3 linked regions of the Drosophila melanogaster genome follow. The protein of the gene in region 1 interacts with the protein of each later gene in a pairwise test. Each region holds a gene or a part of one and is shown on either strand. Other genes may lie near its edges.

Region 1 (4,730 bases):
CTGAAGAGCTGCGAGGCGGAGCTGCTGCCCTTTTTCAAACTGCTCAAGGATTCCGATCCGAAGACCTACTGCGAGTGCTGCTGTTTCAAGGGATACGACTGGATGCCCAAGAGCAAGAATCTGGAGGCCGTGGATGCAATGGCTGGCGAGATCAAGGAACAGATGGGCGACGTACTGGTCAGGGCCTTCGCTCAACTGCACATTCATTCGCCGCAGGATCCACGCGCCTTTATTGCCGCCTATCTGATGAATCTTGATCGTAACGAGCAGGAAATGAAGGAGAAGCTCGTGATTTTCCAAGCAGATCCAGCAGTGCAACCCCAGGAGCTTTCGGATCCCACATTCAATTGCGAGGATATTTGTCCGAAGCCTGAATGATATCATTATTAATCCACGATTGTATTCGAATAATAACTTTAAATTGGCGAGCTAAGTACACAGAATTTATTGCCACCAGCGGAAAAATTTAAATGAAAAGCGGCTTTCTTCAAACATTTTATTAATTCAAAATAAACACGCAATACATTTTGGGACATATGGTTTTCTACGTAGTAGTAGTTATATTTAATCCTTAGGTTTTCGTTATACAAAGGAAATCACATATAGAGCTGTTATAAACCTTATATACTCGGTTTGCATAGCCATCTAAGATCGGGTAAACAATGCAGCTTGGATATAAAGACGGCGTACGGTGGCTATGATTTATTTCTTGCGACGATTACGGCGCCGGGTGTTGGGATCCGGTTCCTTCTCTGCAATGCCTGTAACGGTGCCACCCGCTATCTCGGTGTTGGCCAACTTTTGCTGATTGTCCAAAAAGAACATAATGTCGCGAAGCTGTTCCTTTAATTCGGTCACCTCGGCGTCGTGGGTTTGCTTGAACTCGTTGTACTGCTGTTCCAAGAGTTTGTATTTGCCGTGCCAGGAGCTCTGGTTGCTCTGCAGTGCCTTGGACAACTCACGCTCTTCGTTCAGCTGCTTCTGTACATCCTTTAGCCTACAAGAGCACGAAATTGGTTAATATTTGGTTAATTAGGAAAGGCGATGTGAATGTATTTCTTACTTAGCTGTATGCTGGGCCAACTTGCGCTCCAAATTGACCTTTTCTTTCTGCATGTTCTGCTGAAGCTGTTGAAGCTCGGAAACCTCTGTCTTGGCGTCGTTGGCAGTCGCCTTGTGGTTCTGCCACTCCTGCTCCAATCGTTCCATGCGCTCCTCATAGTACTTGCGCTGTGTGTCCAGCTGAGAGGTCAACAGGTATGTGAACTCCATCTGCATGGAGTCAATCTTTTCCTCGCGCTCATCTTTCTCGGTTTGCGATGCCACCAGCTTGCCGTCGGATTTGTTTTGAAATAAGCGATGCACAAAGTTGTCACCGGCATAGTCCCATACGCTTGAGGTGCCCAACTGCATGGCAAAGGTGTGATTTGTGGCCCGGAAGTGTGCAGCAGCATGTCCTCCCTGGTAGCGTCCGCAGCCCACATGTCCGCAGATCAGGCAGATCCATAAGGAATCGGTGCCCTCGCATTCCATGCACACGGAATCTTCGACCAGTCCAGGAGTTTGAACATGGCGGCACACCGGACAGGTGGAGTCACCCCATTTCATCAGGCAGCTGGCGTGGAAGGCGTGATTGCACAATATGGTCAACACTCCATCCACGCTCTCGTCCATGCGCTCCAGGCACACTGGACAGGTGGGTAGCTCGGTGTGTCCCATTGGTGGTGCTCCATGCTCGCTCCTTTCCACCTCTGATACCCAGACCGCGTGGCACAGCGAGTCCGGTTCCAGTGAGTTGTAAGTACTGCCATTATAGGACTTGTAGAACTCCAAAGCGGATTCATTCGAGCGGAATCTATAAGAGTGTGATTATATTAGTAAATATCCGTGAATCTGTAATGTCAGATTGGAACGCCGCTTACTCCAAAAGCACCATGAACTGATTGGGGCTGCCGTCACGTACAATCTGGATGTGTTTAATCTCTGCATGACAGGGGGCAATAAAGTTCAGCAGATCGTGGCAGTTAAGAGTGGCCGGCACGGCCAGCAGGCAGAGTTGGTTAGATGGAGCTTCCTTGATGGCCTTGCGTTCGCTGAAACATACAGAAATAATGGTGAGTGAAATATTTAGTAGGATAGAGCAGAGTTAACCCACTTTTTCTTGTAGAGATGGATAAGACCTTTGGTCACCTCGACGATGGGATTGCCGGAGAAGTACCCTATCTCTTGGGGAAAGTTGGAGGCGCTGGCTCCCGCCTGGCCATCATCGCCGCTCCGAGGAGTTATCTCCCGGGAGCTGCCCGCCGAGGGGCTGTTCACATGCTGCACGGCGGCTACCCAGTTCATCTCCTGCTGTCTGGGTTCACTCAATTCCCGCTTCCAACGCTGGTTTGTGTACGTTTCGATGGTGATGTCGCGGGATTGGCGAAGTCCGCGGTCGCGTTCCCGCTCCTTGAGCACTCGGGGATTGGTTGGATGTTCGGCGGACACAGCTCCCTCAGAATCTGTTCGAAAATATAGAATTAATGCACTTCCTTTGTCCGAAGCTATCGTTGCTGCATTGAATTTTACCTGCACTGGGATCCAAATCCGTTTCGATCTTGATCACACACAGGGAAATGTTTTCTAGCATGACACGGGCATAATTTTCATTAGTTTTTATATATAAAAAAAAGCCTAAAGACCGTTCAAAGTGTAATTTTCTATTTTACTCTGTGCGAAATGAGTTTGTTATTTTTCTATGTGAACTAGTTCGCGCGGAGTGAACGGCCATCGATTGCTTCGCGACAAAAGTGTTTAGTTCAACAATCGCTTATCGATAATGCCTACCAACACTGATTGTAACGTACCTGGATTCAAGTCCATCGAAATTCAAAAGATTAAAATATTAATTTCGTGCTCGGTTTAGCAGATTTTCATCGCCAATAGAGAAAATGTATATTTTTACTCGTATGAAATGATAAGTGAATGGAGCCAATAAAATAAAAGTGATTTCCTGTGGAACAGTGTGCTATGAAGTAACATACAACTTGTCGGCTTCGCTTGACAACTTCGGCTGTGGCCACTTCGGTCGGATCCGCTTGGCGAGTTGGCCAAAACAAAGCCAGTGCGTTGCTGTTGCTGCTGCGTATCGGACGTGTTCGGTGAGCCAGACTCGCGTCATCCGTGATTTGGGCCATAACAAAAACAAGTTTACGAAACTTACGTCGTCATCTCGTTCTTTCCCGCGCGCGTAAACCAAGTCAAAATAAAAGAGAAGCAAAACAAAAAGGCTGTCCAAAGGAAATTGCAACAAATCAAAAACCAAAAGCGAAAGCAAAAGTGAGTGCAATAGTTTTTTGTGATTTAATTCCATACCGTTTGCTGCAGTAACCATGGGCTGCGCCCGCGGTTAACACAACAAATTGATTACCATGGGCGCGGCGGACCAAAGTCGATTGTAATTGCAATTACCAAGATTGGACCACAAAGTACATTTAACCGCACACACACGTGCAACATTCAATGTATGGACGCGGCCGTAAAAACGGTCATCGCAAGGAGTCAACCTATTGATTTTTGGTATTATTTATTAAGGGGTTCGCCCATAAACCTGCTTACCAAATTCGCAACTGGCTCACCTTTCTCACAACCGCACTCATATGCTAACAAACAAGACCGGAGATCAAAAATAGCCGTGGGTGCACAGTGAGAAACATTTGTGCTGAATTACCTCTTTTAATATATTTACTGTCTATTACTATGTGTCTATGTGTCTTTACTGTCTATGTGTCTTTGTAGTTTGAAATATTAGTTAAACCTTAAATTTCATCAATCAATCATAACTAACTCAATCAATGAATGAAACTTTGCGTTTCCTTGCCAAATATTAATATTAAACGCTCTCACCACTTTTAAGTGAAAGTAAATTTAACCTTTCTATGCAAAATCTAATTTATAAATAATATAATCTCCATGGTGCCGCTTTTTTGGGCCAGTGCATGCGTGTGTGAGGACGTCAGCCCGTTTCTGGGTTGCTGCTGACAGCTGCCAAGTGCCAGGAGCTTGTCGTCAACAAGTCTATCAAAAGCACGTTTGTCATTTTTGTTGCACTCGCCCAGCCAGCAGGTGGCACCTCCCAGCGCCACCCACCCACTCCATCCACTCCATTCACTCCACCCACTCGGCGTCTCACTATGTAAAGCGTGTGTGTGTCTGAGAGCTGCTTTTGTGTTCGCCAATTTGAAGTTTGTTTGAAACTACATGTATTGCCCCCTCGCTGACATTCATCCCGCAACGGCGCTGAGCACTCTGCCATTTTCATTTGCATTTTCGCCGTCCCGCTTTTCCGCTCTCCGCCTTCGGAAGAAAATCAATTGTTGTATGCAATAAACGCAAGGCGAACGGAACGAAACGCTGCCAACCAGTTTTTGCAGCGGAGCCAAAATCCGTTTTCAGTTTACATAAACCGAGTTTGACTCAAAAAAGTTGGCAAAACCATGGTTTTTTGTTTCCCTCTTGCTGTTAAATTATGCACAGTTTATATATAACAAACGGTAAATAACTAAAGCTAAATAGTTTATTGATTTCCCAAAAATTTCTTAGCATCAGCTTTCGCTAATAAAATTTTATTTAATTTAACTATGTTTACTTTTAAACAAAGTGTGCTCAGCTACACACCTTTTGTGTTGAAGGAAACACTAATAAATACTTAATTTATTGAGCTTCTTTTAATTACCCCGCTTATCCTA
Region 2 (7,075 bases), on another chromosome or scaffold:
ATATGCTCACGCATCTGCTCCAAAGATGCTTGTACAGATTCGTAGGTGGGCTTTCCCCAGCTCTGAGGCTTGGTTACTAGGTAGTAAATGTACCGCTGGTCATCCTTCAGCACCGCAATATCTCCACTGCCCGCTTGTTGGGCTTGCAGCTCGTCCAACCTTCCGAATACCTTCTTGAACTGCACGGCAATTCCAGCACCCATCGCAAGATCTGCGCCCACACAGTGCGCCAAGGAATAGGTCTTGGGGGCGGAAAACAGATCCCCATCCACTTCGCTTAGGGTGTACTGAGGTTTGGATGACATTCCGACTACAAAAGCTCGCCGAAATGCGCTACGTAGTTCTAGAAGTTTGGGAGAATACATTTAGTTTAAATAAGGGTTTTAGATCTGTCTGACTTAGTGTAACAGGCAGCTACTAGATTAATTTTTGGTCATACGATAACACTAGATAATGGTTCGTAAGGGTATATATATGTATTTATCAAAACTCCAATCTTTGGTTAATATCCTCTCGAGGACGTGTTTTATTTATTAATACATTAAATACAGTATAAATAACCAAATATGGAAACTTTGTGTGCTATAAAAACCTCTTAGGTGTATCGTTCTTATCAACTATATAAGTATTTGGTGCATATGATGCCACAAGTCCCAAGCAAAACCATTTCGAGTGTCAAACAAAGATGGCTATATACATTAAAAGGGAGTCTTTTCGCGATGAAGCGAATTTCTTGATCCACTAACGGACCTCGATGGCAAATGGATGGTCTTCATGTGCCGGCAGGTGGGACAAACCACGTTCAACGTGTCCTTAACCATTTGTGGCGGTGTGTAGAAGAATGCAATTATGTCCACGCTATCCTCGGCGAAAACCAGATCCAGCAGACTCCGCACGCGCAACCAATCCAAACGGTCGATGCCGCATCCAAGTCTGGGAATGGCCAACTTGGTCACTCCGTGCTCCCTCTGAAAGAGAGAATATAGCAAGCATATTTAGTATCCAGTATCTTGCTCTAATACAGTTTGGTGAACCTGATCCTAACTATAATGTTTCACCTTTCTCTTTATTTTAGTAATGCAGTTTTGGTCTGTAAGCCCTTAAAAATACAATTCCTTACCATATGTTCCCGCATGGCCAGCAATGCGTAGTAGAGAGCTGCGTAAGTGCACTTTTCGTGGCTGCGCTCCTTGGTCACCAGGTTGTAGATATGTCTACCATCCTGCTCCAGAACTGCCACATTTCCGGTATGCTTGTGTTGGCGCTTCAGCTCATCCACTTGTCCGAATTTGCAGCGGAACTGCAGATTTATGCCCGCACACATAGCGAAGTCCGCACTGACAGAGTGCACTAAGGCGTAGTTTTCCGGGGCGCTGAACAGGTTCCCCCTGGCCTCCGTAATCTGACACTTGGGAGCAGCCAGCTGTGGATTATCTGAGTATTAACCCACTGTTCTTTGTTAATAAGCCATGTTGGATGGCTCACCTCCTTGGACATGTCTTCGTGCTCACAGATGAGTATCTCGATGGGATACTCGCTCTGGGAGAAGGTCTGCTGCACCAGACGCTTCACGTGCTTCCATTCAAGTCCATCGTTGCCGCAGCAGATTCGGGGCATAGCCACTTTGGTGATCTCATGGTTGCGCTGCAGAGACACTACAGTGAGAATTGCCCAATGCACTATTTTCAAAACCTCGGACTTGATGACAATTTGGTTCTGAGGGCTTCACATAATTTGACGGACAGGCGGACGAGGCCCGATTGATTCGGCTAGTCATTCTGATCAACAATATATGTACGTATTGCTTATAGGGTCAGAAACATAACATTGGGTATAAAAAGAAGCTGACTTTACTTTCTCTTCGCTCAATTATCATTCAACCCAATGATAATATTTTATAAAGAAAAATCGACGCTAAGATGGGAAGATCCATTTGTCCGATTGCTACTGTGTCCCAAAGTCCACATAAATTAACTGCATGCCCATTTCATGAAATCGTTTTTTGACTAAACATGAGACACAAGCGAAATTCTTTTGGATGACAAAAGGGGCGAACTGTTTTTAGATACTCACTGTATCGCAATGTACAAATGAATTAACTGTAAATTGACGAGGGCAGCACCAAAGAAACCAGTTTCCCAAGCGTCGAATTGTGTTTACTCTTTGGGGAAATGTCACTTGTTTGCCGGGAAACCCCCACTCCACCACCAAGACGACGGCTAAAAAGCACTCACCATATGCTCCCGCATGCAGATCAAAGCTGCCTGGACATCGCCGTAAGTGCTGGCCTCGTAGAGACTCGACTTGGTCACCAGATAGTATATGAATCGGGCATTGTGCTCCAGAACGGCACAGTTGCCTCTGGAAACACTTCTTTGCCGTAGTTCATCCACATCCCCGTAGATCAGGGCAAACTGCCAGGCGAGAGTTCCCCGTTCCGCCGTAAAGGATGACTCTACGGCATGGGCCAAGGAATGTGTCTGCGGTGCGTGGAATATGTCCAGCTTGGACTCCACTATCTTCACGTTCGCCATGGCGCACTAGCTCTCTACAGAGTATTATATATCCAACTGCAATTAAGCTGAAATTATTCTGATTACCAGCCGAAACAGAAGCTCTCAATGCCAAAAATGATTTTCGTACTTACGTGCACGCAGCGCTGGAAACTTTCACGTCGAGGTCAAAACTCGCGATAAAAACTTTTTCGACTTCGGAATGGTTTTGACTGTGTGTTTTTGGGTTCTGCACAGAAACCTGCACAAAACCAGAATGAAAACAAAGCTATTAACGGATTCTGAACAGCAAGCGGCTAGTTGGTAGCTTGTTTATTTTGGCGATTCGCCGATTTCCCACTCCCAATTTACAATGCCGTTTGGAGGTTACTATTTAATCGACTGCCTCGGCCGGCGGTCTGCAGCGGAATGCGCCATCGGAGCTCGATGTGGATGTGGGCATGGGTATGGTGGTATGGGTTATGGGTTATGGGTGAAGCGACGTGCCGGGCGAAAGCCCAGCGAGAATCTTCGAGCCTCAGTGACAACATTTCGCCCAGAGGCGCCGCCGCGGGGCTCCAAATGTTAATGATTGCACTGTAAAAAACACATCGTTTTCCACTTAATACTATACGACTTGAGTTATTATTTTATTTTATATATGATTATTAATCTATTGTGTTTATCGTGGTGTTAGAAAATTCATTTTGTCATTTGTTTGCGGAGTAAATTGCCAAGCACAGATGGATTTGGGTTTTCAAAATGGATCATGTTTTCAGACCTAGAAAGTTAAAGCGGGCGAAAGTTACTGAACTCGTTTTGAATCTTTTTTTGAAATTTTATTTTTAAATCACAAGTATGCTGTTTTTAAGCTAAATTAAAAAAAAAATGCACTAATCATATATAACCATTTCTAGTTTTTTGAAAGATGTACTTCCTAATTTTTAAAAGTTACCTGATCAAGTACTGAGAATACCGAAAATGTACTGAAATTGCATATTGGTCATTTTTTTTTTTAATTTAACTGAACTTTTTGGGAGAAAAATCCACCAGCAGGCATGACAATCCACTGAATCATAACGACGATAGTGATGATGATTGGTGGCGATGATGATGACATACATGTGCTAGCAAGTGTGAGTTGATACCGCGTAGTTTGTTTGTTTGTTTGTTTTCAGCGACAAGTTGACTTGGCATTGCCCGAAATCGTCAAAGCCGCTGTAACAGCCAATTAAGAACTTGTGCAGGCTTTTGATAGCGTTTTATAGATTAATAACGACGGATCGTTCCGATCGAAGCACCTGTATGTGAATGTGTACCTGTGCGTGGGCCGCTGTCAAAGGTAATCGGCGCTCAAGCGCTAAATAGGGATTGTATACCGACTAAAGTGCATGTATAAATATACATATGACTTAAATTATTCGTTAATTAAATGGCAGGTGAAATAAAATATACCAACACAAACAACGAACAAATAACCATATAAAGTGACAACTTGTATTCTAAAACAAACAAAACAGGCAGCAGAGCGGCAGCAGCTTTTCGATTTAGTATGAGGTAAAAACTTAAGATTTTTGTCGATTGTAGACTCGGATGACGAAAAAATATTTTATTTACTAGTTAATATAGGAAAAACTTAGTAGAAAATAGAAATGCTAAAAGAATTCAGTGATATCCATTTTTAACTATCAATTGATCATGTATTATAAATAAAACGAGAATGTTGCTTCACATTTGCTTTTCAAAACAAACGTCGAAGAAAAAGCATCACTTGCAACTCATTTTATAAATTTTTATATAAACTGACAATTTTTTTGGTTTTTAATTAAAAATATGTTTGTGTCGTAGACTATAAAAACAAATTTATGATTTATATTGCCCTATGACTATATCATAGAGTATATTCTTTTTATGCTACACAAACGGATATTCCAATTGGAATGACTAGACGCCCAATTGCGTGGGTGGTTGTCTCGGCTAATGTCTTCTACTTCATCCTAGACCGCCACCATTTATTTTCAGCTTTTCGCCAAAAAATAGCATCAAAAACAAACCAATTGCTTATGCTTTTCCTTAAATATCCTAACAATAGCACTGATTTTTAAAGTAGTTAAATGAATATTTTTGTAAATCATAACACTTTGCCTCCATATAGCTTTACACATTTACGCATGTCAAGCCGCAGCTTTGAACGAATTGTTGCATTGAAATTTAGACTTCGCTTTTCCTCTCGATGGGGCACCTTGTGAGGAAAAGCGATAGCTGCGAACGATGCCGCCAGTTCACGGCAGTTCAGCTTGTCGCCTCGAACAATAAAGACGACCGATCCGGGAGCCATAATATATATATAATATAGCTTTATAGCACGGCACTGTTTGGATTTTGGCGTGCCAATTGGCGCTAGTTGCTGCCGTTGCTGTTGTTGTTGTTGCTTTGTTTGTTGTGCTAATTACGTAAATTGCGTGTTTATTTGTTTGTTAATTTAAATACTTTACGTAGTAGTGAATTTGTTAGTTGACGACCCGCCAGGTTCGTTTTTTTTCTGGGCAATTAATCTGCGCGCGAGTAAATCTCCCGGAGAAAACAAGAGAAGCGTTGTGAGTCACTTGAGAATTAGAGAATAACTAAAAAGTGCAAGCGAAAAAAGCAAAGCTCACACTCGTCACGCCAGCTCAGCTGATTCTGATTGGGATTCTTACTACTCTCTCTCTCTCTCTCTGTCTCTCTTCATTACGATACGTAATATACGTATACGTATTTGTATACCCCTCTCTCTCACACACTCTTCTATTCTGTTTTGGTTACCTTTTTGTGGGTTACGTTACCTTATTTGCCGATATGACTGCTTTGACATTGCTACGACGATCAGTTACGGCGGTCAGCTACGACGGTTACGCCCACGTTTGCGTTACGAATTGGCGGTTTCTGCCCCAGCTTCAAAGGTGCCAATTGCATTTGCACGTTAGTGGGCGACATGCTGCTGTACTTTTGTCCAGCAAAACAACAGCAACAACAGCAACATCAGCTGTTGCAGCTGCGCAGGCGCCAAATGCGTATGCTAATGTTGGCGGTAAGTTCATAAGCTTAATTTATGCAAACAGCGCGTGCACTCGGTGATTTATGATGCTGCAGCAGATTCATGCATCGAAATCGTTAAATAAAAACCGAATGAGAGATATGCGCGCCTAACGAAAAGGGAGATATAACGATACCTTAGATTCAAACTTTCAAGAGATCTTAGGCAAAAAAATGTACCGGTTACAACCGATTCGATTCAATAAACTACATCACTGATATCATCACCTCTCATAATTGTAACTCGATGAATGGTTTAATTTAGAAATAAACAAAAAAAATTAAAAATCTGTTGTAAGTGAAAATCTAAAGTCTTCCATCAATCGTAAACAATATATATAAATAATAATAAATATGTAACTAACTAAATATGTAACTAACTAGTTGCTGGCATTATTAAGCCACAGAAAAATAAAGGTCAAAGGTCTATCTTCCGAGAATAAGTTTATAAGTTTACTCCATATCAACTACTGAAGTTATTCGTAAATACGTTTGAATTTAAGCGCATACCAACTGCAGTATTATATTTTTGTTTGCTTTTTTTTGTTCAGTTTCTCTTATTACATATTTTATCTGGTATTCGCAAACATCACAATCCTTTATCCTTTGTTAACCCAGCAAAGCCCCAAAAATAATATTTATGTTCTGGCAGACAAGTGGGTATTTTATTATGAAATGGGGGACTGTCCTTTAATGTACGATAAAAATATAAATAAAAACGAAATGGGACTGGGATTGGAGGCGTGTTCGTCTCCGCCTGCCTTGCATTTATTACTAATCACAATTTAATAGCCCCATTGAAAGCTCATTAAGCACTCACTCTTCCTTTTTATTGCAGAAAGTGAAACAGAATTTAATAACCGGTTCCACTTCAATTGCCATTTTATCAACATAACACCCGCTCCAGAAGCGCGGATCGATCATTTTTCTGCCATTACTCAAAAAAGGTGTTAATGAGCGCACCGAATCGGTCATAAAACTTGTTTCACCAAATCCAACACTTGTTGGTTATGTACTCGTTTACTCTAGATTAATTAGGGTCTGTTCCTCAAAGCTCTTTAAATGTACTTCGGGACATATATAGGCTATAACCGATAAGATAAGTGGACAGAAATCCTATAAGAACTGATATAAGATTAAATAATTAGCAGATGGAGTGCTGGGTATTTTTTTATTATTCAGCAAATGAACCAAGTCGTGTTTGATCCATTTAAAGCGAAAATGAGCCAGGTTTGGTTTGAAAATAAACTTTGTTATATTCTAGATTTCAGGTTCAAGTATTAATATGTTATCGTGTTCAAACTCTTTATCGAATTTTATCTGGTTAATAATCAATTGAGTACAACAACTATAGCTATAGTAATATGTACTAACGTGCTGTACTCAAGAATTCATTCTTTTCCATGCAGTATTTTCATGTGGTTGCCCATTTCAATTTTTTCTGAGTGGTGTGACTGGGTTTCGATAAGATAAAGCTCGTAAAGCCATCAACTTAATTGGGGTTTCAG
Region 3 (4,253 bases), on another chromosome or scaffold:
CTGAACTTTCCGGAGCCTTGTCCTTATCCTCCTTTTTGATCTGGGACAGCTTATTCTTTTCCTTCTCATTCTCCTTCTCGTCTTCTTCATCGCTGGAGTCGTCTATGCTAAAATCAGAATCGGCATCTATGTTGTTGGTCAAATGTGCCTGCGCTGGTATGCTTTCCGTTTGATCCGTTGACTTCGTGGCGTCCGAGGCTGCGTCTGATTTGCTCTTAGTCTGCTCCTCTTCATCCTCGGAGGGGCGACGTCGCCGATAGCTTCGATGCTTGACAGCCTCTGCCTTAATGGGTTTGTATGCCACCTCGTCGGTGGTGGGCGCCGTCTTTGGCTTGACGACATCCTGCTGGGCGGGACCGCCCAACTTTTGTTCGTATAGATGGCGATAGAAGCCGTCCAGATCCTTTTGCTTGGTCACATCGCCAATGGCCTCGAGGTACTCATCACGCTGCTCCTGCTCCTGCATCTGGCGTATGGACTCGAGCTTCTTGCGGTAGGCGGCAGTCACGTAGGTGTCCTTGTCCTTATACATCTCGCCCTCGGCTTCGCGATCCTTCTGCACCTGCCGTTCGATGCGCAGCTCCTTCTCCAGCTTTCTGCGCTCGGCATGCTCCATCAGCCGGCCAATGTACTTTGGTTTCCGCGGCTCCTGGCTCTTCGTCTGCTTGGCCTCCTCGCGTTTGCTGTCCATGTCATCGTACAGCTCGTCGTACTGGAATATGGTTGGATCCTCGGCCAGGGCCTTCTCCTGCTGCCGGCGGGCCACGCGGCGTTCCATTAGACTAGGACCCATGGATACGCCGCCGGTTCTTGGCTGAAATTGAGGAGCAGCTGGGTCATCATCGGTCTCGGAGTCGCTGTTCTCGTCGAAGATGGAGGGCCTTTCGACTCGTTTTAGAGGTACTTTCTTCTGTTGGCCGGGTAAAATAAGGCCATATCTGCACGGTGTTGAAACGGGTCCTTAAAAAACTGCTCAAATTGTTTATTTTTAACAAATTACTTACTGTTTTGCCATTCTTGTTTATTTATGAATAATTAGTATGACCGTCTGAAGCGACCACAAAAATCCCTCAATGGTGCAAAACTGCTGACAGCAACGCTTTACCGGCTAAAAGAACCGTTGTATATCGATAGGAGGACCATTCGATAGTATTAAGATAATAGTTTGAAACACGGATAGTATCACAAAATTCGTTATTTCAATGTGAAACTACTTTAAAACTTGTGCTTTAATCAACTTGTATTTAATTGTGTTTCAATGGACCAATCATTACTTTATTTTCTGTTTTATTGCCAAACCAAGGCTCTTACCCCTTGAAATCATGTTAGTGCAACTCTAGAGACGTAAAATACACATACAAATATGGCGAAATATTGAAACAAATTAAAATAAATTTAAATATAAATAAATTGTTATGTTAATAAAGCGTTTAATTATCACTTAAGGCCTGCTGTTTTTTTTTTATTTATTTTTTTACGCCAATGGAAACATCGGTCCTTAGTCTGGCTACGCAGAAAAATATAGACGGGATCATGATGCTCGGGGGGATCAGAGAAATATCAAAGATTACTTCTGAAGCCGTTCAAGTCTATTCACATGCATAGTGGCAGTTGGGCTCCAAATAATTGGAAGCGATTTTAGTCAAGCCAGCAACCGCGGCCTGCGTCCGGCTAACTATCGATAGGCACGTTGAGCGTAGACACATTCGACAAACGCGGCCACACTGTTCTGCGTCTTTTTCCTTCCGTTTCCCTTTCTTTTCCCTTTTTCACGTTTGCGTGAGTACGTGTACTCCGAGTTTTGTTCAACAAAATTGTATTTAACTCTCTTTTATTTCCTCTATTTGCAGCGGTCGTGTAAAACAGTTTTTGCAAACAAATCCAGGTAAATGCCGCTTCCATTGGACCCGTTTTAAGCGCGAAAATTCAGCCAGATTAGATTGGCGGCGATCGCCGGCCGAAACATGTGCAAATCCACCCAACTCCGTTTTTTTTATTACCCATTTTTTTTTACTGTGGGCCAATGTGCCAAAACTGATCAGTTTACCGTGTAAACAATGCATGAAATGCCTCGCTACATGCGCTATATATATGTATTTTTTTGGTTATAATTTTTTTAATGTGCAAACGAATATGAAGTGAAAAATTGGCCAAAGTGTGTGGCACAGTGTTGTTGTGCATGTGTGGGTGGGTGTGAGCGGCTTTAAATTGTGGCAAAAAGTTGGGCATTCAGTTGAATCGAATGCACGACCGAAAACCGGCTAAATTAAACAAATTTTTACGCAGTTTAGTTGGTAAACTTACCCGAAATAGTTGTTGTTTACAGCCACTTGTACGCACACACACACAGCCGCAGAAACACAGACAGTATCATTTTTTTTTCTTTGCTATTTTGCACGTGTTTTACTTGCTGTTTCTGCTTCTTTTTTTATTCAATGTTCCGTTCCTCGCTGATTTAAAAAGTGAAGTAAAAAACTGTTAAAAATCATAATCAATATTAAAAAACGATTCGTCGTCTGTCCGCGTGAATTTCCGAAAAGGCGCCACGCCTCCTGCCCTCCAGAAATCTAGAGTATTATAATAGTAGCCACTTTTATTGAATACTTTATTATGCTCATAATGGTTCATATGTGTTAGGGAAACCTTTTTCCAATAAGTCATATGCCACACTTGTATAGGCTCCATAAGTTGATATGTTTTGTTTAGGTGGTCAATTGATCTGTTCTTGTAGTACACATAGTTTTACGTACTTTTCAAGTTAGTTTTTCATTTAATAGGGCTTAAGCTTTGTTAGCCAACCTCATAGTACTACTTATATAGTAGTTATATGCAATTTAGTGAGATACTTTTTTTTAGTAGGCTCTGAGCACGTTTTGCTTGGTTTTGTAGACTGATTTTATAGAGCAATGGGGGTGGCAAAGTCTGCACTTTCGATTAAAGCCCAAGACATCATCTTTTTTTTTCTGTGATTATTGCCTCTTGACTAATTGTGTTCCCGAACATTTTGCAGCCATGGTGCGTATGAACGTATTGGCCGATGCCTTGAAGTGCATAAACAACGCCGAGAAGCGTGGCAAGCGGCAGGTGCTGCTGCGTCCCTGCTCCAAGGTGATCATCAAGTTCCTGACCGTGATGATGAAGCATGGCTATATCGGCGAATTCGAGATCGTCGACGATCATCGTTCCGGCAAGATCGTTGTCAACCTGACCGGTAGGCTAAACAAGTGCGGCGTCATCTCGCCCCGCTTCGATGTGCCCATCAACGACATCGAGAAATGGACCAACAATCTGTTGCCCTCGCGTCAGTTTGGTTACGTTGTGCTCACCACCTCTGGCGGCATCATGGACCACGAGGAGGCTAGGAGAAAACATTTGGGAGGCAAAATTCTCGGCTTCTTCTTCTAGAGAAACCAAGTTCGCATCGTAGAGAGTCTGTATGTGCTGCTAAGGAGTTTGATATGTAGATTGACGTTTTATTTCACCGACCATGCAACCAACTATGTACTTTGTGCACAGGAAACAAGGGGCGAAAACGCTGCTACGTTCATTCAGAAAACAAACGACGATGAATGTTCACAAAGTTACGCGAAATAAAATGATTGATACATAATAATTTTAATAACGATTTTGTCTACGATCCATATACTATGTTAAGCGGTACAGTGATAAATCAATAGCGACAGTAAAACGATCTGTTAACATAAAACCCAATTTGTGTATAATATAACCTCGACCGGAGTTACTTATAGCTGGATATTGTCAATTTTATGGCTGAAATCAAGACAATTAGGATGTTAAGAACGCGCCATGCGGTTTCTTTTGAGGTGCTTAAAACACGGTTACGTGCTTTCCATAATGAAAGTAAGGGCCAATTGTTCCCACTCTTGACACCTTAAAGCCAAAAATGATTAGACCATCATAGTTTTGGTATTCCCACCTAGGTTTCTTATTATTTGTTAGAACTTCTTCACCAAGAAAACCTCAATTACTGTCAAAAATTGTTTATGAAGCAAATAATGCTTGTTAGAATTTGTTGTAGTTTCTATAGAACAAAATGTACATGTAAAACGTACATTTACATGCTTCTTCAGGTTTTCAACTGTTTTCCAGCACAAGTTCCGAATTTATGCTGTAGATAACTGCTGCAATTTTTGAGTAAAAATTTGTTTTAATTATGATAAAGTGTATTCACTCGATGAGTCAAATTTGATGTTATCTCAAGTTATCCCTAGGGAGTACTAGGTTTTTTATGA

Evidence for each region. The genes of interacting proteins can lie anywhere in the genome.
Region 2: the proteins of CG5555 (region 1) and Targ2 interact in a two-hybrid assay, tested with the Drosophila melanogaster proteins (one large-scale study listed by BioGRID).
Region 3: the proteins of CG5555 (region 1) and RpS15Aa interact in a two-hybrid assay, tested with the Drosophila melanogaster proteins (one large-scale study listed by BioGRID).

The regions. Positions count from the first base shown.
Region 1 is NT_033777.3:19,177,556-19,182,285, forward strand, and holds CG5555 (uncharacterized protein), read right to left. Parts: upstream 2,984-4,730; 5' UTR 2,866-2,983; coding exon 2,850-2,865; intron 2,768-2,849; exon of another isoform or gene 2,633-2,767; coding exon of another isoform or gene 2,626-2,632; coding exon 2,572-2,625; intron 2,505-2,571; coding exon 2,156-2,504; intron 2,094-2,155; coding exon 1,923-2,093; intron 1,856-1,922; coding exon 1,064-1,855; intron 998-1,063; coding exon 703-997; 3' UTR 530-702; downstream 1-529. Other genes in the region: CG14282 (uncharacterized protein), read left to right, coding at 1-378.
Region 2 is NT_037436.4:21,197,761-21,204,835, forward strand, and holds Targ2 (terminal ADP-ribose protein glycohydrolase 2), read right to left. Parts: upstream 5,331-7,075; 5' UTR 5,318-5,330; exon of another isoform or gene 5,160-5,317; intron 5,123-5,159; exon of another isoform or gene 4,988-5,122; intron 2,929-4,987; exon of another isoform or gene 2,755-2,928; 5' UTR 2,535-2,754; coding exon 2,235-2,534; intron 1,645-2,234; coding exon 1,486-1,644; intron 1,424-1,485; coding exon 1,121-1,423; intron 969-1,120; coding exon 699-968; 3' UTR 501-698; downstream 1-500. Other genes in the region: Targ1 (terminal ADP-ribose protein glycohydrolase 1), read right to left, coding at 1-365; CG10512 (uncharacterized protein), read left to right, coding at 5,331-5,562.
Region 3 is NC_004354.4:13,335,137-13,339,389, reverse strand, and holds RpS15Aa (ribosomal protein S15Aa), read left to right. Parts: upstream 1-1,751; 5' UTR 1,752-1,885; intron 1,886-3,010; 5' UTR 3,011-3,012; coding exon 3,013-3,405; 3' UTR 3,406-3,753; downstream 3,754-4,253. Other genes in the region: CG15747 (uncharacterized protein), read right to left, coding at 1-938, 1,005-1,015.